Medicago truncatula: one gene and its partners. The main gene of each other region encodes a partner of the protein of the gene in region 4 in a complex. Links are inferred from orthologs where the notes say so. Each region holds a gene or a part of one and is shown on either strand. Other genes may lie near its edges. The genes, in order: U1 small nuclear ribonucleoprotein 70 kDa, serine/arginine-rich splicing factor RS2Z32, serine/arginine-rich splicing factor RSZ21 and suppressor of mec-8 and unc-52 protein homolog 2.

The links.
Region 1: suppressor of mec-8 and unc-52 protein homolog 2 (region 4) and U1 small nuclear ribonucleoprotein 70 kDa share a complex: the UniProt entries of both Arabidopsis thaliana proteins name them as parts of the spliceosome. The link is inferred for Medicago truncatula from reciprocal best matches to the Arabidopsis thaliana genes SMU2 and U1-70K.
Region 2: suppressor of mec-8 and unc-52 protein homolog 2 (region 4) and serine/arginine-rich splicing factor RS2Z32 share a complex: the UniProt entries of both Arabidopsis thaliana proteins name them as parts of the spliceosome. The link is inferred for Medicago truncatula from reciprocal best matches to the Arabidopsis thaliana genes SMU2 and RS2Z32.
Region 3: suppressor of mec-8 and unc-52 protein homolog 2 (region 4) and serine/arginine-rich splicing factor RSZ21 share a complex: the UniProt entries of both Arabidopsis thaliana proteins name them as parts of the spliceosome. The link is inferred for Medicago truncatula from reciprocal best matches to the Arabidopsis thaliana genes SMU2 and RSZ21.

What each region holds. Positions count from the first base shown.
Region 1 is NC_053049.1:35,603,315-35,611,306, reverse strand, and holds the start of U1 small nuclear ribonucleoprotein 70 kDa, read left to right. Parts: upstream 1-4,980; 5' UTR 4,981-5,152; coding exon 5,153-5,242; intron 5,243-5,418; coding exon 5,419-5,533; intron 5,534-5,640; coding exon 5,641-5,720; intron 5,721-6,383; coding exon 6,384-6,459; intron 6,460-6,579; coding exon 6,580-6,644; intron 6,645-6,725; coding exon 6,726-6,788; intron 6,789-7,992. UniProt on the Arabidopsis thaliana protein: Mediates the splicing of pre-mRNA by binding to the loop I region of U1-snRNA.
Region 2 is NC_053048.1:47,217,106-47,224,531, reverse strand, and holds the start of serine/arginine-rich splicing factor RS2Z32, read left to right. Parts: upstream 1-4,420; 5' UTR 4,421-4,533; intron 4,534-4,890; exon of another isoform or gene 4,891-4,907; 5' UTR 4,908-4,923; coding exon 4,924-5,030; intron 5,031-5,753; exon of another isoform or gene 5,754-6,004; coding exon 6,005-6,044; intron 6,045-6,217; coding exon 6,218-6,313; intron 6,314-7,426. Other genes in the region: ABC transporter G family member 20, read left to right, coding at 1-909. UniProt on the Arabidopsis thaliana protein: Probably involved in intron recognition and spliceosome assembly.
Region 3 is NC_053049.1:29,287,160-29,294,324, forward strand, and holds the start of serine/arginine-rich splicing factor RSZ21, read left to right. Parts: upstream 1-4,144; 5' UTR 4,145-4,281; exon of another isoform or gene 4,282-4,303; intron 4,304-4,397; 5' UTR 4,398-4,408; coding exon 4,409-4,497; intron 4,498-5,298; coding exon 5,299-5,387; intron 5,388-5,515; coding exon 5,516-5,759; intron 5,760-6,744; coding exon 6,745-6,870; intron 6,871-6,986; coding exon 6,987-6,993; 3' UTR 6,994-7,165. UniProt on the Arabidopsis thaliana protein: Probably involved in intron recognition and spliceosome assembly.
Region 4 is NC_053043.1:19,409,773-19,417,548, forward strand, and holds the start of suppressor of mec-8 and unc-52 protein homolog 2, read left to right. Parts: upstream 1-4,770; 5' UTR 4,771-4,945; coding exon 4,946-4,992; intron 4,993-5,108; coding exon 5,109-5,246; intron 5,247-5,490; coding exon 5,491-5,540; intron 5,541-7,540; coding exon 7,541-7,652; intron 7,653-7,761; coding exon 7,762-7,776. UniProt on the Arabidopsis thaliana protein: Auxiliary spliceosomal protein involved in splicing of specific pre-mRNAs that affect multiple aspects of development.

The DNA of each region.
Region 1 (7,992 bases), on a different chromosome or scaffold from region 4:
TTAGCTTTTGAATAGACATGTGTATATTGCTTTGTCCCATTAAGCTAATAAGTTAGAAGTTAGAACTGCACAAATTGTGAGGTTTCCATGTTTCTCTATCAGTTTACTAGTTTTGGTATTTTTGAGCTTCTGCATTTTCCTGTGAGAAGGATCAAGTAATTGATAGTGAAAAAAACCGACAACGCCTTATTACAATGCAGATATGACAAAGTTCAGAAAACAAATAATGTTAAGTCAATAATTTGATAGCCGTGAGCACTAGAAACATCAAGCAACACTTCTTATACATATATAGCTGAATCAAATCAAATCAAAGAGAATAATATTGACAATTCTTGATAAGAAGTGTGGTGTGTTGTTATTGACAAACGAGAATGAACGTCCTAGTTTTGGAGCACTGTTGGGGACTTTTGAGTGTTTGAGATTCACATTTACACAGTGCAACTTAATACAAACTAATTTTATTCATTAATTATTTAATATTTTTGTATGTAGTATGTACTTTAGCATTACACAAGTTTATTTTTTGAATTAGAGATAAAAAAAATTATAAAAATAGTTCATTACTCATTAATGTTACATGTAGATTGTATTACAAATGTTGTGATTGTTTCACATTTATGTTTTATGAACAACTATAGATCAAGATTTTGATCTCCTACATCCGTCTCGTTTGAGTTATGTACACTTCTTAAAAAAATAGTTATGTTGCTTATAATGGTAAATAATATGTTAAGAGTAAAATTTCCTTTATACCTAATTCTCCTCATTTGCAACCGGTCATTATTGTTTAGTATTTTTTATTTCTCGTATGTTGTAGTATATAAATGCTTAGATTGCAACATTTGTTTTGTTATAGTATACTTAACATTATTTGTTAAGGTGTATGAATAGTTGGAGCACCTTAGTTCTTAAAAAAAATATTTTGTACTTTAAAGAAATCCCAACACAAGTATCTAAACATGAGATTAAAGTTTTTCGTATCCCACCATAATTGTTCTATATATAAGCACCAATGCAAAACAAAATATGTTTACTATAAATGAACACAACACTAAAATACCGGTGAATTATGATTAATTTTTGATTGACAACCGAACTCATGAAAACTAAATCTTCATTACGAAGAATAGTTTTTATTTGAAAGCATTACGAATAATGGTTTTTATTTGAAAGTGATGACTGATCTTAAGAATAGTAGTCATAAGATTTTTCTGATGACTGATCTGAAGATTATTGAACTAGTGCTAGCTGTTGTTGCCGATGTTTTCTTGTCCTTTTTCTATTGCATTCACGATCTCCCACTTTCTATGGAAATGTAACAAGTTTTGTAATTTGTGAAATGTACTGTAACTCGAGTTGAGTTAAGAAATTTATTGATTTGTTACTTTTTTGTTTATAATTATTATTAACAAGGTATACCTATAGAAATACCTGATAGGTCGATTGTTGAGATAATTTGTTTGTTGAAAGTGCTCCGTTTGTTAGAGGATAAGATGATATCCCCAACTAGTCAAACCATCTCAATACATTTTGCGAGAGAATTTCATGAAGATATATTGACATTTGCAGTTGAGATTGAGGCAATTGTTGAAGAGATTCAGTTCCAACAATTTTCTCATGAGCATCGATGGTTTTGTAGTTGACCATCTATAACTTGAGGTTGAATTTTTTAAAAATGAAAATTATATTGTGTGCTCACAGAAACATGATCGGAACTTTATTTTTTTGAACATAAAGAAAACCATAAAAGAAAATGTTTTACCATTATGTAAATGATTATTTTACTAAGTAGACAAAAATGATTTAGTTGTCATTATTTATATTACTTGTATTACTGATGCTTATTGCAGAATGAATCACCATTGGGTTTGAAAACATAGTTAACTCTCCTAGGTAAATTTAGGATGATAAAGTGTTAAATCTTTAGTTTTATATTTTTAGTTACATGCCCATTTTTATTTCTCTTGCGTTTTGATATGTGATTTCAACATGATTTTTTCAAAGCTGCAAATGTTAGCTTTTGAATAGACATGTGTATATTGCTTTATCCCATTAAGCTAATAAGTTAGAAGTTAGAACTGCACAAATTGTGAGGTTTCCATGTTTCTCTATCAGTTTACTAGTTTTGGTATTTTTGAGCTTGTGCATTTTCCTGTGAGAGAGATCAAGTAATTGATAGTGAAAAAAATTGACAACGCCTTATTACAATACAGATATGACAAAGTTCAGAAAACAAATAATGTCAAGTCAATAATTTGATAGCCGTGAGCACTAGAAACATGAAGCAACACTTCTTATACATATATAGCTGAATCAAATCAAATCAAAGAGAATAATATTAACAATTCTTGATAAGAAGTGTAGTGTGTTGTTATTGACAAACGAGAATGAACGTGCTAGTTTTGGAGCACTGTTGGGGACTTTTGAGTGTTTGAGATTCACATTTACACAGTGCAACTTAATACAAACTAATTTTATTCATTAATTATTTAATATTTTTGTATGTAGTATGTACTTTAGCATTACACAAGTTTGTTTATTTTTTGAATTAGAGATAAAAAAAAATTATAAAAATAGTTCATTACTCATTAATGTTACATGTAGATTGTATTACAAATGTTGTGATTGTTTCACATTTATGTTTTATGAACAACTATAGATCAAGATTTTGATCTCCTACATCCGTCTCGTTTGAGTTATGTACACTTCTTAAAAAAATAGTTATGTTGCTTATAATGGTAAATAATATGTTAAGAGTAAAATTTCCTTTATACCTAATTCACCTCATTTGCAACCGGTCATTATTGTTTAGTATTTTTTATTTCTCGTATGTTCTAGTATATAAATGCTTAGATTGCAACATTTCTTTTGTTATAGTATACTTAACATTATTTGTTAAGGTGTATGAATAGTTGGAGCACCTTAGTTCTTAAAAAAAATATTTTGTACTTTAAAGAAATCCCAACACAAGTATCTAAACATGAGATTGAAGTTTTTCGTATCCCACCATAATTGTTCTATATATAAGCACCAATGCAAAACAAAATATGTTTACTATAAATGAATTTTAATATAGAGATGCAAAACTCTCCAGTTATGTTATAAAGAACACTCAAAGAAACTTGTAAGAAACCAAAACATATAAGAACCATCTTTGATCTTATGTTTAATTAAGTTTGTTATCATTAAAACATTAACTCATAAGGATTTTTGTGATATTCCTCAACATTTGCATCTTCAATGACAAACACTTCTTTTGTTGTCTCGTCGTTTGATTTCTTGTGAGACTCATTGTCTGTTGTATTGTTACCATAAGCTTTCAGTTTACCATTAAATTATTTATCTTAACTATCAAATTGATTCCAAATATTGTCAACGAATAAATACTAAAAACTAAAAAAACGTGTTTAATTGTTATTTATTACCTTTTGAATGTTTGACATGAAGTTTCATTCATGTTCAGCGTAACCTCCAATTTATTCATGCAAAAGTGTGGAAAACCACTTCAAATTCTCTTTGTTTTCTATATCCACAAATATATGCTATTATAAATGTAAATTTGCATACGAAAGCCTTAAAGAAGTTCCAGTCCTGGTGGTTGAGTGGCAGTTAGGGATTTGGTGGCACAATAATGAGATGAAAGAACTCTTCATTTGAAATTGTGGCTAACAGCAAGAGAAGAAGACACGTTGACCGTTTGCGATAGGGCATGCAATAATGTGTTACCCATGGAAGTAAATACAAACAAAACATAAAATTGTATTAGATAATCAATGGATACTTTACGTGCAATGTGTATGCAAATTTAAAAAGGTCCTAGTTTCTACTTCATTGTCTATTTTCTTTATGGTAAATTTAAATTGTCTATTTTTTTTATGGTAAACTAGCGAAAACAAATAATTTGAATTGGTTTTCAACACTGTTGCCTGACGACCTTTGATGCTACGTTCAACATGGATGAAACTTCATTTCAAATATGCAAAAGGTAATAAATAACCGTTAAACATATTATTTTAATTTTTAGCATTTATTTGCGAGTATCAGAGATCAGTTTGATAGTTAACATGAATACTTTAGAAGTCAATTTGATAGCGAGTGACATAATTCAAGGACGATCTTGATTTTCAATGAATAATTTAGGGATCGATTTGACATTGCAACAATTTGTAATGACTTTTATTTCAATAAGGAAAAAAAAAAGGAATTCACAATTTCAATCAATTTCCTCATCGAATACATGACATTTGAGTTTGCAATTCACGTTAGTGCTTAACGTTATATGTCATCACTGTTAACGGTGAGATTTGACGGAGGCATGACGTTCGCAAAATTTAGGAAAATTTTCGTTATTTCAAATAATTTGAAGACGAAATTGAACGATGTGTGCAAATTCAAGGATGAAAATACCTATTCACTTATAGTAAAGCTTAGGCTTAAACACCCTTTTGATCCTTTATCTTTATTTTGACATTCATATTGGTCCCTTATTTAAAAAATGCGCAAATAGGTCCTTTTCATCCATCAAAGGCCAACAACGTTAATTGCAGTGTACATGACCATGTAAGTTAACATCTCATTCTTCCTACTTTATCAATTCTCCTATAAATCAAAATTAAGGTTCATTGGAACCCATATATGATATATCCCCCTATTCTTCACTCCAAATTAGAGATTGACGTCAATATTCTTTCTGTATGAGCAAAAATGTCAAAATCACGAGATTTATCATCATTATTCCTTTTTGAAATTGTTGAACAATGATATAGAGAATAGATCCAACACAAATTCACATAAATCTCATACTTCAAAACCATGAATTCGCATGAAAAAGACTAACACGATACCCAATTAAACAAATTAAAAGATCTTTCTATATTTTTTTTTTAATAAGAGACCAATATAAACTTCAAAATAAAGGACCAAAAAATATTTAAGCCTAAATCTTTATTAGCCCTTTGTGACTCTTCAAACACCTCCAAAACAGACTTATGTTATGCTTAAAAAGCGTACTTTTCCTCCCCTCACTATAAATACTTCTCAGTAGCAGTCAGGTTCGAGATTCAGCTAGCGCTCGCTCATAGCCGAGACGCAAACCGGATCTAACGATCTCATCAATTCAATTCTCTCGTGATTTCATCGAATCTTCACCATGGAAGATCCTCTTCTGCGCAACCAAAACGCCGCCGTTCAAGCTCGTACCAAAGCTCAGAACCGCGCCAACGTCCTTCAACTCAAACTGGTATAGATTCATACTCTTTCCCTCACTTTTCGTTGTTAATTTGACCTAAGTTTCTTCATAATTAACGAAGTTGTTGTTGATTTTCAATAGTTAGGGTTTATTGTTCGTAACCCTAGATATTAGATTAGTTAATTTTTGTTGATTAATTTGATTTGATTGTAATTGATTTGATGCAGATTGGACAGAGTCATCCAACTGGATTGACTGCGAATTTGTTGAAGCTATTTGAACCTAGGCCGCCGTTGGAGTATAAACCTCCACCGGAGAAACGAAAATGTCCTCCGTTAACAGGTGTTTGATTATTGTTTTTGTTAGGTCTACATGATCATTTGTTGTGAATTGATGTTAATTATAGTTAATTATGCAATTAATCCTTCGTTTTATGTTTTTTTGTTTAGGGATGGCGCAATTTGTGAGCAAATTTGCTGAACCTGGTGAACCGGAATATTCTCCGCCTGTGCCAGTAGTTGAAACTCCTGTAATGTTCTGTTCTTTTGATACTAATCATGCTGGAATTATTAGTTTTAATTGTGTTAAGCATAGTTTCGTAACTGAGTGTTTTTTTTTTTTTTTGTCGGGCATGTCTTTGGTGGGTTGATTTGATGCAATGAGTTTATATTTTTTTTAGTATATTTATTTTTTCATATATCTTTTAAAGTTTATTATGCTTTTTAGAAGATGTCCTTAAGAAAACAGTTAAGTTAACTAATTATTAGTTTGCAAAAAAATATTTGTCCTCAGAAGTGTTTTGTTGCTGCTATATTCTGTAGTTAAGTTTTACTGTGTAATATTGTGCAAGCACAATGTTTAACTGGCTAAATTTGACTCATTGCGCCTGCTTTTTTCTACGGTACTAATTCGTTCTAAGAAAATATCCGAATCAATGTTGTGGTCATGAATAACAAATAGATAGTTTGGGTACTCAACATATTAGTTGAAAAATACAATTACTATTGCATATTCAGTCTTTACCAGGTTCCAGTTTTTCTTCAATTTACTTAAACAAGTGGTTATTATAATGTATAGTTAATGTAGCAATTGGCATATAAAAGCAGTAAAGTAGTTTAAATGCCAAAGCCCTTGTTTCAATAGTGAAGAGTATAATAAAGGCATAATCGCTGATCCATTTTGGTATACTCAGGCAGAAAGAAGGGCAAGAGTGCACAAGTTAAGACTGGAGAAGGGAGCTGCAAAAGCTGCTGAGGAGCTTGAGAAATGTGATGACTCTTATATATACTGTTTTAAATTTGTTGATTTTTGTGGATTATGTTATCTGAATATTTGTTGATTTTTGTGGATTATGTTATCTGAATATTTTTCTATATGTTTCAATGTAGATGATCCACACAACGATCCAAATATATCAGGAGATCCATACAAGACTTTATTCGTGGCCAGACTTGTAAGTTATATTTTCCAATAGAGTAACTACTGTGCTTTTTCATATTGCTTGTCATATCTTATTGATTCCATCTTCCAACAGAGTTATGAGACTACTGAGAGCAGAATCAAAAGGGAGTTTGAGTCATATGGTGCAATCAAACGGGTAGGTATTTTGAATATGTTCAAAAGGGTTCGGTAAGCTTATCATCTATGTGTGGTTCAAAACTTACTCTATTTTACTTCTTTTTGACATCTTTACAACTTTTGAGCCTTCAAACTGTATTATTTTCAAATTCAACAATTTCCATATACAGTGATGTATCGCAGAAAACAAAATACTAGCTATTTGAGCATAATACAATCTTTATACCTTTCCTTTTGCCACTGAAGAAAATGTTTTTTGTGACTTGAGAGGTTTTCATGACTAAATAGCTTATCAGGAAATCAGTCTGCTATGTGTAATATCTATCTCATCCTATCCGAAGTTTCAAGGGTATAGAATACGAACGTTCCTGATTTAATTTGTCAATTTTAGTGGTTTTGAAATGGTAATAATCAATGCTTTTGGTTGCTCCACCAATTTGTTGTTGATTGCTTTTTATTTATTTTCTTTTGTCATTTTCCACTTTGCTCCATTCCAATTGTTAATATAATATGGATGGGATATCTTGGGGCTTTGGGTCTCTAGAAATTTTTAACTGCAAATTTAACATCTTGACACGAGAAATGCTAGAAACACTCTTTCTAACACACTCTCGATCAGAGTCTCCTATTGCGTGAAACTCATGTGGGCCTCACCACTTTATGTCGGACCCATTTCCAAAGTGTGGTACTTACATGAATTTCATCCAATAAGAGAGTGGGTATTAAAGAGTGTTAGAAAGAGTGTTTGTAGCTCCCCCCTTGACACAAACACCTGGTAATGGTTTATCATCTTAATATACGTCCCTGGTAATGGTTGATTATCTCGATCCACATCCCTGGTAATGGTTGATTCTATAACAATAAAACCCAAATTCCATTCAAGTGCTTCCTCCTGCATGGTATTTTAGTTGGTAAGAACAATATGCAAAATTGTGCCTTTGGCCTTGTTTTCGATCAAGTAAAGGAGACTGACAACTTCTGTTCTTTTCCTGCACTGGGTAAAATATGTTGGGTGTATTTCAATCTCTTCCCTTTTTTATTAAATTCTTAGTTAGCCTACATTTGATGTTGCTATAACTTTATTTTTGGCTTTAAAGGCTATCAAAACAAAATCAGCTGTTGAGAAGATGTTATGGTATTTTCTATATTACCCAGAGTTGTTTCCATTTTATCAATTTTAAAAATTAATATCCCTGGTAAGGGGACACTAGTCAACACCTGGT
Region 2 (7,426 bases), on a different chromosome or scaffold from region 4:
GGAAAACGGTCTCTACTAAACTCAAGACGGATGCCGGAATTATTCGGAATCCGTCTCGGTGCAGTTCTGGTTACCGGAGGAATCTTGGCCACCATCTTTTACCGTCTTGACGATTCACCAAAAGGTGTTCAAGAGCGTTTGGGTTTCTTCGCCTTTGCCATGTCAACAACCTTCTACACTTGTGCTGAAGCTATCCCCGTTTTCCTTCAAGAGCGTTACATTTTCATGAGAGAAACTGCTTACAACGCTTACCGTCGTTCTTCCTATGTCCTTGCACACTCCATCATCTCTCTCCCTGCACTCATCTTCCTCTCCTTCGCCTTCTCCGTCACCACTTTTTGGTCTGTTGGACTTGCCGGCGGGACATCTGGTTTCCTCTTTTACTTTTTCACCATTTTAGCTTCCTTCTGGGCTGGGAGCTCCTTCGTCACGTTCCTCTCCGGCGTTGTTTCGCATGTGATGCTTGGTTTCACCGTTGTGGTTGCTATTTTAGCTTACTTTCTTCTCTTCAGTGGATTCTTCATAAGTAGGGATAGGATTCCACCTTACTGGATATGGTTCCATTACCTATCACTGGTGAAGTACCCTTTTGAAGGAGTGCTTCAGAATGAGTTTGATATTAAGCCACCAAGGTGCTTCGTCAAAGGGATTCAGATGTTTGATAACACTCCGCTTGGTGATGTCCCAGGGAGTTTGAAGGTTGAGCTGTTGAAGAGCTTGAGTAGTACACTAGGGACTAACATAACGAGTTCTACTTGTGTTGTTACTGGAGCTGATATACTGAAGCAGCAAGGAGTCACACAACTTAGTAAATGGAACTGCTTGTTCATCACCATTGCTCTGGGATTCTTCTTTCGCTTCCTCTTTTACTTGGCGTTGCTATTTGGGAGCAAGAACAAGAGGAAATAGACACAAAAATCATATTGTAATAATCATATTGAGAGAGTATTGTAGCATGAAAACAATATTACAAATAGGTTCATGTATCATTGTGATTAAGGCTAGTTTAATTATCAACGGTGATCTTGTGCTTTTCTTTTAAAAAAAGATGATGATTGTATTTCTAGTATAATTTTATTTTTTAGTTGGATTAATTAATTGGGGCTTCTACGGTGCAATTTTTTTTTTTTTTTTTTTTTAAGTATTGAAAAAGTTATTTTTTTTAGCTAATAATATAACTGCAAATGTCATGTCTAGTGTCCTGCTAGTGCACCACTCTAAAACTAAACTTTACCTTATTACAAATCAGTCCGCATACAAAATATTAAGGGAAATTTCAATCTTAGTGCACAAATGATAATCTATGTTTAATTTTTATTTAATTAGGGACACAAATTGTAATAAGTAAAGATATAATGACACAATACATAAATACTTAATGATTAATCATTTAACTTCACCAGAAAAGTCATTCTCATAACTTCACCGTAGAATTTTCCTTAATTTATATATATCCTCAATTTATTTTCATGCTTAATCTTTAATTTTCTAGTAGTTTTCGTTTACCTCAAATATCACTGCAAATTTAGATGTCAGATAGCACTCATACTCTAAAATGTTCATGACTTTTAACACATGAATCACCTCGTCCCTTATTTTAGAGAAATTTCTAATTGATCTCTAACTTTACTGAACATTGATTAATTAAGTCGCTCTATCAATAGTTCAACTCGATTATGTGGCACATTATGTACCTAGTTGACAAAAACTTCACAACACACAATGAGACGTAAGGGACCACTCTGCATTGCTTCTATATTTAGCTTCGAGTATGTGCCGGTTTCATCTTCCCTATTGAGGAAGTAGAATCGCCGGCCTAAGGTATTGATTTCTATAAGGTATTGGCAAAGAGACTCAGGTAATGACCACAGACTTGCTTTCAAAGAATTAATCGGCATTTATAAAAGGGGGGTATTTGGTGCATGGAGTGTTGGTTGTTCAGGAATTTGGTTTGTGCGAAAAGGTTAAAAGAATAGCTTAATCTGTAGATGTTGAAGAAACTTACAATTCAGTTGGTTGGAATTTTTTTAATATATGTTTAGGGAGTTGGCTTTGACGATAGGTGGATGGGTTGGTTGGATACGGGCTTGTGTTTTCTCTGGTAGTTTGCCGGTTTTGGTGTATGGAAATCTAAGGGAGGAAATTGCTATAAGTAGAGGTTTAAAAGCGGTAGGATAGCTGGCATAGTTCTTATCCTTTTGGTGGCGGAGGGGTTGAGGATCATTAATGAGAAAAGCGGTAGGATATAAATATTGTAAAGGGTTCCTAGTGGAGAATCCGGAGGTGGTTGTATCTCATCCACATTATGTTGATGATACTTTATTCATTGGTGAGATTTGTATCGATAATCTTTGAGCAATGAAGGTAATATTTAAGTGGATTTAATTAATGTTCGGGTTAAATGTTAATTTTGCAAAATGTAGAGGAAGTAACGAAGATTATGAGTTGCAAAGTGAGAATTTTTTTGTTTACTTATCTTGGCCATCTGGTGGAGCAAATTCAAGAAGAGCTTCAACGTGAAACCCGATGGTAGAGGCAATAAATAAAGGTTACATTCTTAGAGGAGTAGATATGTTAATTTTGGAGGAAGTGTGGTTTTTATTAATCTAGTATTGGGATTGATCCCAACATTCTACATGTCACCTTTTAGAATATCAAGTTGTGTTTACCTCGAAATTGTCCTTTTTCTATAAGGAAAAAAAAATTGTTTAGTTATTATACATTTCTTCCATTTAGAAAAATGAGTTTGTTGAACTCGATCAGTTCCTTCACGCCTAACTCGCCGCAAAGGAAGTTTTTGTGGGGAAGGGTGACAGAGGAAAACAAAAACAAGTTGAGTAAAATGGAGTGAGGCGTGTAGGCCAAAGTTATGTGGTGAGTTAGGAGTGAAGGATTTGGTGATTTTCAACATACTAATTTATCTAAATGGAAGTGGTGCATGATAACGAAGCATATGTTTTTCTTCTTTTGGAAGAAGGTATTGAAAGCAAGTAGGATTGGAATGAATAAGAAATATTCAATATGGTGGAGAGACTTGAGCAAGGTGACCTTATTAGACGAAGGGGAAACTGATTCTATAAAGTAGTCGGGAGAAAAGTTGGTAATGACGTTAATATCTGGTTTTGAAATGAAGTTTGGGTAGGAGAAACACAACCACATAGTTTTTTCAAGATTATTTCTATTGTCGAACCAAAAAAATAGGTGTGTGGTAGATATTGGAAAGTGGGTCCTAGATCCGTCATTGCTAAACACGACCATTTTCGTATGGCTTAAATATGTATTTCATCCTTGCAATTAGGAGTCGTTTAAAAATTGGTCCATGTATTCGCCAATCCTTGCAAACTAGCCTTGCAATCATTAATCATTTAAAATTTCGTCCATTGCCACGTGAAATTGAAGAAAGAATTGAAAACCCCGGGGTAAAATTGGAATTTCATGTGTGACAGTGATTGCCACGTCATCAAATTAGTGACGTGGCATTGATTAAGTGGGGAGAGGGACGAAATTTTAAATGATTAAACAATACAAAGGTAAATTGCAAGGATTAGCGAATACAAAGACCAATTTTTAAACGACCCCTAATTGCAAGGATGAAATACATATTTTAACCTTTATGTATTCATGTAGGTGAATTTATAAAGTATACACCAAAGTCAATCAAACCACAACTATAGCGATTAAAAGTATACTCTCAACATCAATCCGACACTCAACAATTGTTTCACAAAACCACAAAGAACAAATCGACTATAGGGTCAGAATAATAAATGTTTATGGTGCAAGTACAAGTTACTAAGCTATTTTATTTTTGGCAAATATCCTATTATAGGTCATTACTTTGTCCACCCTACGAGTTTCTTGCACACCTTTTTAGATATTAAGATTTGAAATATTTCAACGTGTTTTTAAAGGTTTATAGGGTTTTTATGAAGTTTGGATTCTAAAATCCGAACTATATAGGGCGCGTGAGACCTCGCAAGGTGGAAAAAGAACACGGTCCTTATTATAAGAGACAAATTTTATGGTATACTAAAAAATTTGAGTGTACCGGTACACCAAATCGTTAAATTAAATAATTAAACGAGTTGCTTTTTTAAGAAAAACAATTGTATTCTATCATTAACAATTATAATATTGAATCTATTTATCAAAAGTGTCGACGAAATAATTTTTTTTTTTTTTGTTACTCATAACAAAGAATATTTATGATTTTTTATGAGAAAATGTTAAAAATTTAATATGATTCTTATAAATAATAAAATGATAGTTTTTCTTATAAAATGATATTTTCTAAAATATAAATATTGATAAATAACTTTTTATTTTATAAAATGATCGTTAAAACAATAAATTTATGTGATGTATCGCAGAAGATCCCATTATAAGATCGTATCATAAGAAGCCCACTAGGCCCATGTACCCAACTTACTCCAAAAATAAGACATTGGCAGCGCACTTGATATAAATAGTGAAACGCAAGGTAAGAAGCCGATCCAGTTTCAAAGTGTTAGGTTTTCGGCAATCTCCTCCAAGGTACCAATCCTCATTCTCTTCTCTCTTTTCCCCAATTCAATTCAATTTCATTTTCCTATTCCCTTTCAATTTTTTATTTTTCCATCGGATCTTGTAATTGCATGCATATCGCCTTCAATTGATTCACCCTTTAACCATTCAATTCCCAGTTTCCAATTTCATCGATCGGTTTGTATTTCTCTGTTTTTCGATTTAAATTTCGTAGCTTGATTTCAATTAGATCTAGACAATATCTATCTATGCTCGTATTTTTTTTTGGGTGTTTAATTTCAACTGTTTATCTACTTTACCATCAAGAGAAAAAGAGATTTTTTTTTTTGTTTCCAATCACTTTGTTGATTCATAACCCAATTTCAGTTATTGATTGCATACAGCTAGAAGATATCGACAATGCCTCGCTACGATGATAAGTATGGCAATACCCGCCTCTATGTGGGTCGTTTGTCTTCACGAACTCGTTCCCGTGATCTGGAGCGGGTCTTCAGCAGATATGGAAGGTAATTTTCAAGTTTTACACTGATTTAATTTCAATTGCATTCACAATTGTTTAATTGGGTTTTGCTTTATGCAATTTTTGTCTTTTGTATTATTTTGTGTGCAATTGTTAGTTCTATCACATTCCATGTCTGGTTGTGTATCTAATTCCTAGACTATTAGAGGAGATCCCAGACCTTGTTGTGTTTGTCGGATTTGTTTAGGCTTTACCAATTTATGAATGGAAAATTATTACCATGTCTCCTTGTGTCACTTCCTTTGTTGATTTGCAACCGAGCTAGATTAGTGATGGGTTTGGCATGGGGTGCCATTGTCTGTGGGCCTGTTTGGATAAACAACTTATTTGCAGCTTATGTATATGCTTACATAAGCTATAAGCTATTTCGTTAATAATAGATGAAATAAAGTTAAATTCTTTTTGTATATGTTGCAAGTTGTTTTCATAACCTATATTGGAGAACTTATGAAAATAAACTCAAAAAAGCTTATTAAAATAGTCAAAAGCTGTTTTCAAAAAATTTCTTCAACAGTCTCACTAAACTTAATTCAGTAGATAAGCTCAACTAAGCCAATCCAAATAGGCCCTATTTCTAAAGTTAGGGAACAATATACAGGTTCTTTCCAAGCTTTGTTTTGGGCTTGGATTTATGTTGGTTATACCTCATGTTATGCGTGGGAACCGTATCCCACAGGTGTCATTTTTAACTTAAATGATCTTGTTGAAGGTTTTTGGGTTTTCACTAAACCCGGAGGTCTGTGGTGGGAGGGTGGCCTTGGTGTAATCTTGGTGTAATTGGTGGAAATTCCTACCTGAGTGTTGACTTTGGCGATTCTTTCTGTAATGTTATTGCGTGTTTTTATGGAATTGGCAACAATCACAAACTGGTGTTTAGTTCGTCTTTGAGGGGCGAAGTATCATACAGTTCCAGTAGTTAAGTAATGATGGCCTTACTGTTTATGGAAACCATTTCCGCAGCGTTCGAGATGTGGATATGAAGCATGATTACGCCTTTGTTGTAAGTTCTTACCCTTTCCCGTGTTTGTTACTTTTTTATTTTCACTTTGATTTCTGTTCTTTGCTCTGCCCAAAGGTGGCTTCTATTATCTCTACTCGGGGGGAGTTCAATTATAGATTGTGCGGTAAGATTTGTGTTACTTTTGTGGCTTGTTCCTTACATATTTTGAGCAGGAATTTAGAGATCCTCGAGATGCTGATGATGCAAGATACAATTTGGATGGTCGTGATATTGATGGAAGTCGTCTTATTGTGGAATTTGCAAAAGGGGTAGGAATTAATTTCCGGCTGTACTTATTACACCTTTTTTTTTTGTTTCTTTGTTATGTCTCTTTTATAATTAGCTTTCAAGGATTTTTTTTTTTTTTTTGTATTGATGTTCCTTTTTAATGCTGATGCTTTAGATGTTTCATTTGAAAGTGCTTGCTCCATCCATGTATATATTTGACGAGTGTCTAATCTGATAGTCGCATATAATTACACACTCCCTTTGATTTCATATATAAGCAAAAATTGGTCAAAGGAAGTTTATGAATTTGGTCCAAATTTTATGTCAAAGATAGTTTTTGAATTTTGTCCTAATTGGTCCAAAATTAGGACCAAATTCATCACCTTTATTTGACCAATTTTTGCTTTTATTTGATTCCGGAGATAGTATTGGCAATTTGCAAGGGATGCTTATCTGTATGTCTGTCCGATATCTGTATGTCTGTATATCTGTATGCAAGGGATATTTTTGCTTTTTGATATCCTTATTGTCTTATAGTTCACTATTCTTGCTTTTTGGCACATTCTGTTTTAAATTTCTAATTGGGATTATCCCTTGAAGATGAATAGAAGAGCCTTCAATTTAACTTTGTAATTTTCAATGAGGTTTACTAGCTTTATTTTGGTTTTGGAATTGGTAACTAACTCTTTGATATCCTTATTGTCTTATAGTTCACTATTCTTGCTTTTTGGCACATTCTGTTTTAAATTTCTAATTGGGATTATCCCTTGAAGATGAATAGAAGAGCCTTCAATTTAACTTTGTAATTTTCAAGGAGGTTTACTAGCTTTATTTTGGTTTTGGAATTGGTAACTAACTCTTTGATAATCCTTATTGTCTTATAGTTCACTATTCTTGCTTTTTGGCACATTCTGTTTTAAATTTCTAATTGGGATTATCCCTTGAAGATGAATAGAAGAGCCTTCAATTTAACTTTGTAATTTTCAAGGAGGTTTACTAGCTTTATTTTGGTTTTGGAATTGGTAACTAACTCTTCCTCTTGCTATATAGCAGCATAATAAAAAGTAATTACGTTAATGACAACATTAGCAGCACAATAAAAAGTGATTAATTTATGATTACATTGTTGGTCTGTTGTCTTTTATTTTTATGGC
Region 3 (7,165 bases), on a different chromosome or scaffold from region 4:
TTAACTCAAAATCACCCCTTCCATGCAAGAAATAGAAGAGAAAACCTAAATTGAGAAAGTTATGGCCGACTTATTAGTTTTCTACGTATTTGTTGATTTTGTTTTGAAAAGTAGACACGTCTTACGACGAAGAGGTTTACAAAATGACGAAAATACAAAATTTGTTTAGATATAATTCATGAGAAAGTACACACTTGTCGCGGGTGGCTCTGAAGGTGAGCAAGAGGGACGACGGCCTATGACACCATTTTTCTAGGGGCACTAATTATATTAAAATATATTAGTTCGTACAATATAAAAATATATTTTGTTTTAACTCACTTTGATTAATTATATTGAAATATATTATTAGAGAACATTGATTATAAACGAGTCCTTTGCAACAAAAAATTTAATAAGAAAAACATTCAAATAATTAAAAGGGCACAACTTGATTTATTCACCCGGGGCATAAAAAATCTTATACCGGTCATGAAGATTGTTCATACTTATATGGAGTATGGCCCCGTTGAATTTTAAAAAATAAAAAAAAATCACTTTTTTCATTTTTAAATGTTTGTTTAGGATTTTTAGAAAAATAATTCTATTTTGACCCTAAAATGAAAATTTATTAGGATTAACTTTTTTCAAAATTTATTATTTTTCAAAAACAAGGAGGTAAGACATGTACAAGTTAAAACTCTTTTTTTTTTTAAATGAATTTTTATGGATAGTAGGCAAACAAAAATAACTTAAAGATTTTTTTTAAAATTTCTAAAAAAATACCTAAATTCTTTTAACATAAAATCTATTTTTTTAAAGCTGAAACAAACATACGCTATATAATGACTTTGTTGAAATTCAAAACTCAATGTTATAAACAAATGAATGTGATTTTGTGGTTTTCTTTTCAGTGACTTATATATATTAGCTTTTCGTGTTCATATTGAAAATTAATAGCATTAAGTTGTTATTTGTTAACATAAGGTCTTTACCTTTTAGATTTGTGAAATGCTACTTCAAACAAAAAACAATTCACGAATGTATCACGAAAGGAACATGGTTACTGTAGCATACTTTCATTTTTAATTCGAGAGCGGCATTACTATTTGGATAATTACTCAAAGCATGTTTCTTTAGTTTCTTTTAGCACCTGCATTACTATTTGGTTCTTAAACAAAGAACGAACGATCTATATTTTAATATGCATTTTATTTTTTAAAATAATAAAAAAAATATTAAATTAAGAATCTGAACCGTTTGATCTCAATCTACAATTAGATTATCTTGAATGTGTCAAACCACATTACTCCACGTGCATATTTTGTTTGGACAGAACTACATGTATATGTTACCATCTGATATGGCATCTATTTGGTTTCCTAATAATGTTTTTGAACAAAAAGTTCACTTTTTAAAGTTCACGTGAAATGAGATTTCATGTTTGACTCACGACAGATAGAAATAAAGACATGATCACCGATACAATCCCATTTATAATCATCTCATATCTGGTCCACTGATAATTGGACAATTCATTTCATTCATTAAAATCGGGATACCAAATCAACTCTTTTCTTTTTGTTTTAACTCTCCAAGTTCTAAAGGAAGGAGTTATAATCCTAAATTCAGTTAAGAAGTAGGTAAGCTCCGACAAAATTTTGTTCTTGCAAGGGTTTAGACTCAGACTCTTTCAAACAATTCATCATTAACAGAAGATCATTAACCACTTGATGTCGATCATTTTGTTGATCTCAAAAAAATTCCACAAATGAATTTTCAACAGAGGGTCTAGATTCACACTAGAAATAAATAGTCAGACAATCCCTTCACAACTAGTGATCTTACTAGGCATACTAAGTTAATGTTATTGAAGACTTAAGAAAAGCAATTATCTTCCATCTTCTTTTGTTAAAGTCAACATTAACAACGTTAAACAGAGAAACGCCTCTAGTTTCTCTAAGTTTCATGAGAACGTGAATAATAACTTTTTTTTTTAATCGGTAAAATTTAATAAAATTGAAATTCTCGCAAGACGTAAAGAGACGGCAGGAAAAACAATACAAAGATGCCGCATATAGGCGTTATAGATCTACCCGACAAACACTAATTCACCGCAACCGAAAAGAAAACGGCGAACAAGCACAAAAGTTTATCGAATTAACACATACCTTTCTCAAATTGAGCAACTGCCACCTAAACCAAGCAAGCTTGTCGAAATTTATAATGCTTATGCATAGATTGTTCTATGATTTTATAATTAAGTAGATTAAAACAAAGATGCAATGAAAATAATAATAATGGCAAATTAAAAAAACCAAGGGCACATTTTGAAGAAACAAAATCCATGTCCCTTCTTTAATTTTGGCTATTTTGCATGTTAGTTCATGAACGCATACAATTCCAACCTTATAAATGAATCTCTCCAAAGACAAAACAAGCTTGGTGGATCGCACGCTCTATTGCGGCCTGTGGATACCATATGACACATGCTCACTCAAAGTCTAAATATTCATATCAAAAGGATCACTCAAGAAGGACGTCTGTCTGCAGAAGTATGATACGTTCGCAAATGCACGAATTTATCATCGTGATAAAAATATCAATCCACATAGACTTGTGATCAAGTTTATTTTTCTCCTTAATGTTTAGCTAGATTTGTTTTGATTGTTGAGAGTTTTATATTTGATTTGATTTAGAAAATATGTAATTTATAAAAGATTTGCTTTGGAATATTGGAGTTCATAACTATAAAGAACAATTCCAAATCCAATCCTTTCTAGTGTTGTAAGAAATCATTACTTAAGGATGAGGTAACTCTAAATTATCATTTGCTCTCCTTCAAGATACAAATGGTGTGTCCTACCATCATAGCTTCGTATTCTTATGGTAGTTATATTGGTAAGACTCATTGTGCCCCATTATCTATTTCATATCTATTGCTTTTACTTTGTAGTGATTATAAAATCCTGCATCATTATATAGTTATTTTAGAAGACGATATGGTTTTCAAGACTAAATCTAGTTCCGGTTGAAGCAATTTTGATGTTTAAACCACTTCAAAGCACAAAGAGATCATGCTTTAAATTTGCCTTGAACAATGAGCACAATAAATGTACTATTTATAATGTTTCTCAGTTACCATCAAATTGACCTCTATTTTTCGATTTATTACTCTATCCAAATAAAAACATTTAAAAGTGAAGACAATGCCATCGAATGATTTGAATTACATAGAATTTTAATTTCTCTAATACTCCCTCCGTATCAAATTGTATGACGTTTTGGGCATTTCACACATATTAAGAAATGCAATTAATAGTGTGGAAAAAAGATATTATGAGTTGTTTTACAAAATTATCCTTAATAAATAATATGGGAAAGATAAATGAAAGAATTGAAAGAAGAGAGAGTAATAAATAATTAAGGTTATAATAGGAAAAGTAACATTAATGTTGCATTGATATTGTAAAGCGACATATAATTTGGGATAAATTTTTTCCCTAAAACGACATACAATTTGGGACGGAGGGAGTATATTCAATTACCTCGTCCAAACTAAGGGTGTATAAAACCTGTCTCGCTCCAAATGCAAGTGACCGAGTTTGACCAGGTAAAAAAATGGACACAAATAAGGGACATTACAATGACAAAACTTAAATAGAGACCGTTTTTTAAATATTATTTTTAAAACTCTCACATTCCACTATATTCTTTAACACACAGACTCACAATTTATAATTTGACTTAATTACAGTTTTAGTCCCCCTTATTTTTACTCACTCATGAGATTTGTCCTCCCATTTTAAAATCATTCAGTTTAGATCTCTTTTACATAGTTTTGAACTTATAGTGGTCATTCTTATTGTCACATCATATGACACGTAATTCAAACTATGTCAATTCACCATCACAATTTTTTTAGTCTAAAAATAGAATAAAGTGACTAAAATCGAGTGATTTTAAAATTGGGGGATTAATTTTGCGAATAACTAAAAATAGTGGGATCAAAACTAATTAAGCCTTAAAATTTTTTGTGATGGTTTTGTGTTCTTGAAGTTGATGTTAAAAATTTGATATCTATAAATATATTATATCATATTCGAGACACTTTGGTGTTGTATTTTAAATATCTAGCCCAAAAGTGAAGAAAGTAAGAAGGGGGTTTAAAAGCAAATTATTAGAATACCCAACTAAAACTAATAAGCCCAAAACGCCATCGTTTGAAGCATTAGAAATTCTAGGGACTTAACACGCTCACTCACGATCATAGAGAATTCTGTACAATTCTTTCACTTGCAGGTGATCTCTGATTTCCCAAACTGTAAAATTTCGTACATTTTCTTCTCAAATTTTTCGTTTTTTTTTTGGGTGATGATTAGTAACTTTTTCGTTTTCACAATAATAATTTTGTACAGGTTTTGAGAGAATGGCTAGGGTTTATATTGGGAATTTGGACCCTCGAGTCACTGAGAGGGAACTTGAAGATGAATTTCGTGTGTATGGTGTTCTTCGCAGGTAATTTCTTCTTCACTCTCATTCAACAAAGAAAATTTATTTGAATTGATAGAAATATTTTCAGTTTAGGAATGATTACATTGAAATTGTGGTTAATGATTGAGTTATCAGTTAATTATTTACGTCAAGTTGATAATTATTTGTAAATTTGTTTTTTTTATTTTTTTTATTTTTATTTTTTTATAGTTATTTATTTATTTATCAATAATTAGTTCGTTATTGTCTGCATGAACATTTTTATGGGAGAAACTAATTAAGTGAGAGTAAAGAGAATGGATAATTGAAGTAAATTCAAAGAAGGCATAATAACGGTTCATTGGTTAAGATTTTGTCTAGGATAGATGGCGCCACGGGTTTGATCCTACTGCAACAGTAGATATTTTCTTATTTAGTTATTTTAATTAATGTTCTTTTTTCCAAAAAATGTGAGGAATGTGAACTCCCAAAATGAAAATGGCAGGTTCGATCCTGCGATCATTCGGCTGAAGAAAGAGTACTTTACCGCTGCTACACCATTAATTATGTTCTAATAGGAGAACACTAAAATATGTTGTAGATAAAAAATATATACAAATTATTTGGAGGTCTAGATTTATAGGCTAAATATTAATGCAAATTAGAGGCCTAAAGCCATTGCTTTAGTTGCTTTATGGTAAGGCCAGCGTTGTGATTAACAATATTGATATAGGTTTTGTTCATGAACTTAGTTTTCATTTTGTTTGTGTTACACATTTTTCATAATTTGTTCCATTATTATTGATTTAAAGTCTTAAATTTTAATTATTGTTTTTTGCAATACAGTGTCTGGGTGGCTCGCAGACCACCAGGATATGCATTTATCGAGTTTGATGATCGGAGGGACGCCCTTGATGCAATTCATGAATTGGATGGTAAGTTTCCTATTTGTCAATTTGTCATCATTGTTGAGTGTATGTTGTTGGTGATTAGCATTTGTCTTTCTTCTTTTTATGCATCATATTGAGATTTGGGGTTATCATAATGTATGAATGTCGTATAGGAAAAAATGGCTGGCGTGTAGAGCTTTCTCATAATTCTAAGAGTGGAGGAGGAGGAGGCCGTGGTGGTGGGCGTGGTGGACGCGGAGGGGATGACCTCAAATGCTATGAATGTGGTGAACCTGGACACTTTGCTCGGGAGTGCCGTTCACGCGGTGGTTCACGAGGCCTAGGAAATGGAAGGAGACGAAGTCCTAGTCCTTATTATCGGCGCCGTGGAAGTCCAAATTATGGTTATGATCGCAGGTATGTTATGTGCACACGCTTTATATGAATCCAAAAAATTCTGCATTTCAATAGCAACTTTTTCAATTAGCAAGCTTTTAGCTTTTTATTTTGTTAGAGTTTGGATTGGACGTCATTGTTAAGGAATGCAAATATCTTTGATACATTGATTGCAAAACTGTACTTTTACGCACTGATATGGGAACAGGAATTTGTTTAGAAAATGTTAACACAATCCATAACCTGCTTGAAGTTGGTGAAATAATCAACGGCGTGCATCATATCTTTTTTATTTTTATATTTTTCATATCTTTCGCCTCTATTCGAATGAAATTCAATATCTTTGCTGAGGTGCTTGCTTGTGATTGTTCTGCAAATTATGTTGGGGACAACACTTTTTCGGTTCTCATTTTTAGCGTTGTCAAATGTTGGCCATGCCGGATTGCGGTAGTGTATTTTTTGACAAACGCCCGGGGAAGATTGTGAAGGATGGTGGCGTTTTATGGCGGATATGGCAGATTTTTAGCTTTCCGACATGATCATCCATCCCCAACTTATAACACTTCTCATTTTATGTACTTCATAGTTTGCCTTTTATTCCTTGTTAATTTGGTAGATTTGTTGACTTCTTTATTGCAAGCTCTATTTAATTGTCAATTTGTATCACCATTTCACATCATTTATTTAATTGAAATTTCTCTCTGCTTGGGAAAATTTAACTGCAATGATTTATAACATTCTTAGCCTGTCCTCTCACTCAGCCTGGAAAGGATATTCATAAATCATTAACTAAAATAAATTCAACTTAACCACTGAGTGGCTGGAAAAGATCTCAATGTCAAATTGACAACATTCATAATATTTGAAATTCCTCATTTCCACTGTACAATTTGTAAGTGCATTATAATAAGCATCTCAAACATGTCATTTTGTAGCAACCATTCTTTTATTGATATATTCATCTTCTCATGTTTTGTTTTCATTTGGGTTCGCTTCATTTTATCAGGAGTTATAGCCCGCGTGGGAGAAGATCTCCAAGACGACGTAGCATAACACCTCCTCGTGGTCGTAGCTACAGCAGATCCCCTCCTCCATACCGTTATTCTCGCCGTGATTCACCTTATGCCAACGGGTACGATTGATTATGTTCAACTCAGTTTCTCTGATGATGTGATTTGAGTTAATGAATGGCATGAGAATTGAGAACTTATTACCCATATTTTAAATCTTCCCTTTTCTTTTTTCCAGAGATTAAGATCTGATTGTGAACAGAGCAAATGATGAATAATTGTTGTGGAGCCCTCTCTGCTATAGTCTAGTTTCTCTAGGATTGGGTGAGCATACAACATACATGTTAATTATGTTATGTCATGACAATGGAATGGGTATTACTATGAACTTGGATTGCTAAGTGTTGTAGCCGCAAA
Region 4 (7,776 bases):
CTACAACAAACTCTTCATTTTTCTGAAAGTCTAAGATTTCTACGGTGGTAATTTGATTGTCTTTAGTCTCATTCAAAATATGAGTTCCAAGTAATCCCAAAACTTCAACTTGAAATTTCATGAAGATTTCATGTGTACAATTTGCTTTTCAAACAGTGAAGGTGTTTTAAGAATCGGTTCCGTGTGTCATGTATTAAAATCAATTACTTGTTTTTTTGTCTCTTCTCTATCTTGCAAGGAAACTATATATTTTTCAACAAACTCATTTAATGTAGTTTTATTATAACCTACATATTTGTCGAAAAATGAATTAATGCTCTCATATATCTGAGTTGTTGACATACCACAAAAAAAAGTATCCATTATGTAAATAGGAACTCAATGATCATGTTTATCATATAAAGACTTAATTCACCCATACCCATATAATTGAAATAATTTCACAATCTCTTGTCATTTATGTATAAATAGTTGCTTTAACCAAGATATATAAATGCTCGAGTTTAGATATCTGATAAAGTCGTCATATTTCTTAATACATGACAAAACTTCTCAAGAACATTTCTAAGTATATGCCAAAGACAAAATCAGTGTTGAGTGTTTGGAAATATCTCTCTGATAGTCACTTTTATTGCTCTATCTTGATCACATATTATTGCAATTGGAGGTTTTACGCCCGACGTTTTGAGCCATGTTTTCATCATCCATATGAGAGTATTTGAGGTCTAATCTACTAGTAATGTGTAACCAAGTAACCTTGACTGAAAGTTATTATTCACACCAATAAAAGGAGAACATGACATTTTATACTTATTTGTATTAAATGAAATAACATCTCGAAACTCTTGATAATAATCTCTATATTTTTCATCTACTTAAAATAAATTTCTTACATGATATAATCTATGATTTAAATAGTAACGATAACTCATATATGATATGACTATCATAATAAACTAATATAAGAAATGATAACAATAACTCATAATGATATGATAACAATATAAACTTTGATTTAAATAATAACAAGGAAATATGTCGTACTAGTACATGTCAATGGTGAGAAATGGAAATAAAAAAAATAAATAAAGAGTGAAAGCAAGTTAGAACATGAACATGATTTCATTGATAGAGAAAATAGGTTTAATCAATTTTATGAAAGCAGCCAATTTCATTGATAGAGAAGAACCTGAAAGTGAACATGAAAAGAATGTGTGTGTGGGAGTTGGATCACATGAGATAAAAAGTTAAAAGCTAATTTAATAATAAAAAATAAAATAATTAGTAACACTAAAAGGATGAACCAGTCATCAGTAGATTGAATTAAAAAAATATAACACATGACTAATTTTTATTTAATGTGTCAAAAGAGTGAACTAGTGGTGTGACCTTAACATTTCTCTAAAAATATTACCTACCAACACACACACACACACACACACACACACACATATATATATATATATATATATATATATATATATATATATATATAAAAGGAATTAAATTACACTAAAGTAATGTTGAATCAATGTTATACCATTCAATATAGTTTTACTCGATTAATATTTTCAAGTTTGACCGTTAATTATAAGTTTATATCATATAGGTCATCTATGTAAAATTTTATACAAATCGAAAATTATTTGATATGTTTTTGTGAACCACTAAGATTAACGATGTTCTATAAAAATGAATAAATTGTTTATCTTGATGGGTCTCAATAACATATCAAATGATTTTAGTTTTATGTGAAAATTTACATGGATCATCTAAATGATATAAACTTATAATCAAACGGTCAAATTTGAAAAATATGAATCGAGTAAAACGATATTGAATGGTATAACATTACTTTTGAAATGATGCTTGTAATTTTGTTATACCTTATGCCTGTAATTTTTATTAATAAAAATAGTGAGTTGCCTAAGTTTGTTTTGTACTATCAGTATCAGTTAACTAAGCATACATGTGCAGTTTTAGATACACGACAGTTTCATTATTTCTCCTTAACTTGGCAGGTCCAGTGCAAACACAATTAATTCATTCATTTATATTATACATGACATGTCCATTTCATTCCTTCACTGGCAACAAAAATATAATATGGATTGATAATTAGAAAGTTTTTAGTTGAAGCGAGTGACAATCATGTGTTTCGAACAATAATCAAATTTAAGCCGTGACACTAAAAACAAATTTTGTTGTGGAGCTTATATTGTTTTCTTTTATCCATCATTGTCCTTGTGTAAAGGGTTGAGTTTATATTGTGACACTAAAATTGAGAAGTTATACATTGTAAATTCAATATCAAACTAATAATAACATTACCATAATTCAATCAATATTGTAAAACAATCAGATCTTACATAATGTCAAAACACTTAAACAACAAGCCAAGACATGAATTCACAATCAAAAAGGAACAATAACGTGCACCCCAAAACGCTGTCAGACCCCCAAAACAAACAACCAATGTAGCAACAACAACCAGCAGCAACAAGGAAAAAACCCACACCCACCTCTGAACCAACCCAAGTCTCAATGCCATGTTGAAATATTTAATTATAATTTATTTAATTATAATATTCCAATAATTATTATATGGGCATATATATATATATATATATATATGTTTTAATTATTTTATCTATTTATTTTTAAGGGCCTTAATTATTAGTGATCAAATAATGAAAAAGGCTTATTAAGTTTCTATTAAAATAATAATTAATTATTTAAGTGATATGGACTTGGATACGGGTGGATGTTCGGATGGTCCATTAAGGAAATAATGGGATCCTCAATTTACCCTACATGCCTATTGGGTTTCCATTGGTTTCAAACAAGTCAATAAAGAAATAAGAATGATTTAGAAAGTTATTTAAAATCATGCAAAGTTTTCTTGAATATATTTTTGAGTTCGTCTATATTTAAGAGTTTATAAACAGATGTTCCAAAAAAAACATTTATGAGTCCTAAATTTATGTGTAAAAAATCATTTAAATACATCTTGACTTTACAACATGACCAAAATACATCTCGACAAATTTTGTAAGGATAAAAAAAAAGTGTCTTTTTTTTATAAAGACAAAAAAATTGATAATTTTGTCGGAACGAAAAAATATTCAAACTCTCGATGGTAATGTCAACAAACTAACTTACAACTTAGTAGTTACTACTCTCCACCTCAAAATAAAAATAAAAAAACTTAAACTTGCTTCGTCCTAAATTATAAATTGTTTCAACAATTTCACATAAATTAAGAAATCTAATCAATTTTGTATAAAAAATAGAAAGTATTAGGAAAAAAATATGAATTATTTTACAAAATCATCATTCATTGATGATATGAAAAAGATAAAATCAGAGAAATGAAAAAAGATAGAGTAATAAATAGTTAAGAATATAACATAAAATATAAGCTTCATTAAAATTGTAAAAACGACTTATAGTTGACACAAATTTTTCTTCCTAAAATAACATTTTTTGTCAAGTTGTTTGATGGGTTAAAATTCATCTGTTAAGGTAAATAAGTAGAGTATCTGATGTTTGAAACCCGACTCCCATACATAGATAACAATACATTATTTTGTCAATTGATATATACTCACGATGACAAAACTACGGAGGAACTTATTAAATCAATTCTCTATCAATAAAAAAAGAGTAAATAGTCAATTTCCCCCCTGAAATTGTAAGTTTCATCAATTACCCCCCTGAAATTAACAAAACTTCAATTACCCCCCTGAAATTTCACAACGTTAGTCAATTTACCCCCTCCGTCAAATTTTTCTGTTAGTGAACATGACGTTTTGCAAATACCCCCCTGAAGTTTTGCACTTATGTGCAAAATGCCCCCCAAACTTAAAAATTTATATTATTTTTTTCTTAAAAACAAACAATTAATAGTTAAATATTAAAACTAACTATTAATTTTGGAATTTGGGAAAACTACATGCATATATACATCAAAATAGGCTCCAAAATGGGAAAAAATATGTATTTTTTAAAGTGACAATAATGGGATGATTTGTGGATTAATATTGGGGGTTGTGTAGTTTAAATGGTTTGAGCAAATTGTTGAAGGAGTTGGAGGAGTTAAAAGACTAAGATGGTGAAGGAGAAAATATAAATTTAAATCTGATTATTAATTTGTTTATAAACCTCTAAAAATAATAATTTGTCTATTAGAAATAACCATTATTGTCACTTTAAAAATAAACATTTTTCCCTATTTTGATGTATATATGTATGTAGTTTTTCCAAACTCCAAAATTAATAGTTAGCTTTAATATTTAACTATTAATTGTTTGTTTTTAAGAAAAAAATAATATAAATTTTTAAGTTTGGGGGGCATTTTGCACATAAGTGCAAAACTTCAGGGGGGTATTTGCAAAACGTCATGTTCACTAACAGAAAAATTTGACGGAGGGGGTAAATTGACTAACGTTGTGAAATTTTAGAGGGGTAATTGAAGTTTTGTTAATTTCAGGGGGGTAATTGATGAAACTTACAATTTCAGGGGGAAAATTGACTATTTACTCATAAAAAAATTATTGGTCCCGTGAGCACAACTCAATTGGTAGGACAATACATTATTATATGGGGTCGGAGTTCGAATCACGAACACGTGAATTCTAGCCACTAGAACAAAAAAATTTATTGAATTAGTTTCAATAAAAAAACCAAAAATATTTTTTTTTAGAGGCCAAAAATTACTTGTTTTATATCTTTCCTTCAATTCCTCATTTTTTCTTACTTTCGCCCAAAAGTCCTGAAAGTGAAGGATATTTCCGTAATTTAAAACCTCTCTAATCTCCTTCATTCACCAGCAGCAGCTTCACGTCTTTCTTTCTCTCGTTCCCTCGCAAAACCCTAAACCAAAAACAAAACTCAATCCAAAAATTCAATCTCACATTTCAACACTTTCAATCGAGTTTCAAATATGACACAATCGAAGAAAAATCACAAAGATAAACCAATTCGCCGCAAGTAAGTTTCATCCAATCTCATTTTTTTTTACAAAATCATAGTATTTTTTATGGAGTGGGAGGTGCAAATAGTAACTTCTGTGGGGTGCAAATAGTAAAGTGTTTGAATTTGTACAGGGAAGAGAAACCGGAAGAACCAGAATTGCCAAAATATAGAGATCGAGCTAAAGAACGTAGGGAAGATCAAAATCCTGATTATGAACAAACTGAACTTGGTTTTCATGCTGTTGCTCCTCCTGGTACCGTTGATATCAGGTAAAGTTTCGATTTTTGCCTTTTTGTTTTTTAATCAATGCATGAAGCACAAAAAAGAGTTTTTTTTTTGTTGGGTGTGAATTGGCGCGCAACTATGAAGACTAATCTCTCAAGCAACCCAAATGGGTGGCGAACTATCAGTTTTAATGTTGTTGCATACCCAAACTTGAGTTTGAACTCGAGACGATAGTTAAGCTAGAAGAGACTTTTTTTGGTATTGTCTAATGTTGATTATGTTTTATAGGGCATCTGATGCGCACAAATTGTCTATTGAGAAGAGCAAGTACCTTGGAGGTTCGTCTTGTACTTTTATTTTGTTCTACAATGATTAATATTATCTTGGTTTGTGCTATGGTATAATGAAATTTTAACAAACCGGTAGTGTAGAAAAAAGACTTGTAGATTTTGAAGTAAGGTGAGTAGATAGATAGATAGAGGGTATTCGAATCAGAAAGGTAGAGAAAGACGTAGTCATGTAGGAAAACTATATGAGAAACTATTACGAAAGATTTAGATATTATTGAATTGGATACATATACGATATATGATAGAACACTATGATGTCGTTTGATCCATGTAGCCGACCCCACTTAGTCGGAAAAAGGCTCGGTTGTTGTATTGTTCTAAAAGCTGTCTTGGTTTGCAAAGAAATAGTTAGTCTTAAAGCAGTGTTGTCAAATAGCAGCACTGTAGTTTAATGAAATTTTAACAAATGACTATTTGTTCTCAAAACTGTCTTGGTTTGCAAAGAAAGTTATTTTAAAAGTAGCATTGTCAACTGGCCGTGCTATAGTTTAATGAAAGTTTAACAGACTGCTATTGTTCTAAAAGCTGTTTTGGTTTGCAAGGAAACTGTTAATCTAAATTCAGCGTTGTCAAATGGCTGCGCTATAGTGTAATGAAATATTAATAAACCACTGTTGTTCTGCGATACACAATTTAGTACAAAGTTTTGTCAAATAGCAATAGGAGACTGGTCTGGTTTGTTACATTTTTGGCTCTCTGCCATGAGCCATCGACAATACAGATAGCGTGCTTTAGTACTGTAGCATAGTGGAATTGGAACAAACCAATATTTTTTGCGATCTGCGATTGACACACTGCATAAAAGCTTGTTTTAGGTCTCTTCTGCATGTTCATAAAATTGTTAATTACTATATAATTCTTGTTTCTGGGAAGGTTTATTACTTTGGTGCATTAGAAACCTAAAAATAAATTGAACATTCACTTGTTGTTGTCATCCTCATCATGACAATAATTCAACAACTAGAAACAATGTCTTTTCCCACTAGATGGGGTTGACTACATGGATCAAGCAAAGTTGTAATTTTTTTATCATAAATCTTATCGAATAATATAATCTTTTAATGCTTTTGTATATAGGTTATTTGGGTCTCCTTCTATACCTAGTTATTAGAGTCTGGACTATATTTAATTTGCTCTAGCCTCCTAATCGATACATCTATAGGTGTCTTCCAAGAATCTCAAAACATCGTAAATGAGTCTCTACTAGTACTAACATTTTTAAACAATGGGGTCTACCCCTACTTTTTCTCTAATACTTTTGTTTCTACTTTTATCTTGCTGTTTGATCACTTATCCATTGTATCATTCTTATTTGTGCAACACTGAACTTACCTTTTCATAGGCTCTTTACTACCCAACATTCAGTGTTGTAGTTGTGCGATAAAAGTGTCATCTAATTCTGACTTCTGAGTGGTATTTTTTTGTCAAATGTTACCCCTAAGTGTTCTTCCATTTCATCTACTCTGGTTGGATCTTGTAATTGACATCTCCTTCTGTTTCTTCGTTATTTTGTGAATTAGACCTAATATTACCTAAACCATGCTGCTTAGTAAATAGTTCATTCTCCAATTTTCACCTCGAATTTAGCAATTATGTACCTCCTTCCAGATCATCAATGATTTGTTCCATAAAGATTTAACAAAGTTTTACGTTGGTTGTTATTTGTCTAACGCAACCCTCCTTATTTGTAGGAGGGGGGCTGGGTCGGGCTTTGTGATGCACATACGCATAGTTGTCATCCTAAACCTCGATGATCTCAAATTTCCATATATTGTAGACTCTAATATCTAGTGAGTAGGTTTTAACTTGGAATTTTGAATTTCCTATGCTGCATGCCTCGTGATATTTTCTTATTCAGGTTTATATTCTTACGCTTTTGATTACATTTTGACATTCTTGCTTTATGATAGAGTAGGTTAAAACATGAAGCCCTAACTGAATGTGTTATTTTAATAACTTACCTTGTTTGCGTTAATTACATTGGTCAGGTGATGTGGAGCATACACATTTGGTTAAAGGTTTGGATTATGCTTTGCTGAACAAAGTAAGAAGTGAGATTAAGAAGCCAGATGCTGGGGATGATGGCGATGGGAAACCCAGGTGACTGAGTCAGAATTTTCTGCAGTAGTAGTTATGTGGTTGTACTGCTATCAATTAAAGCATTTTATTGTCCTTTAAAAATTGTTTAGTAAAATTTGTTCTTTTGTAGGGCACCCAAGGAAGA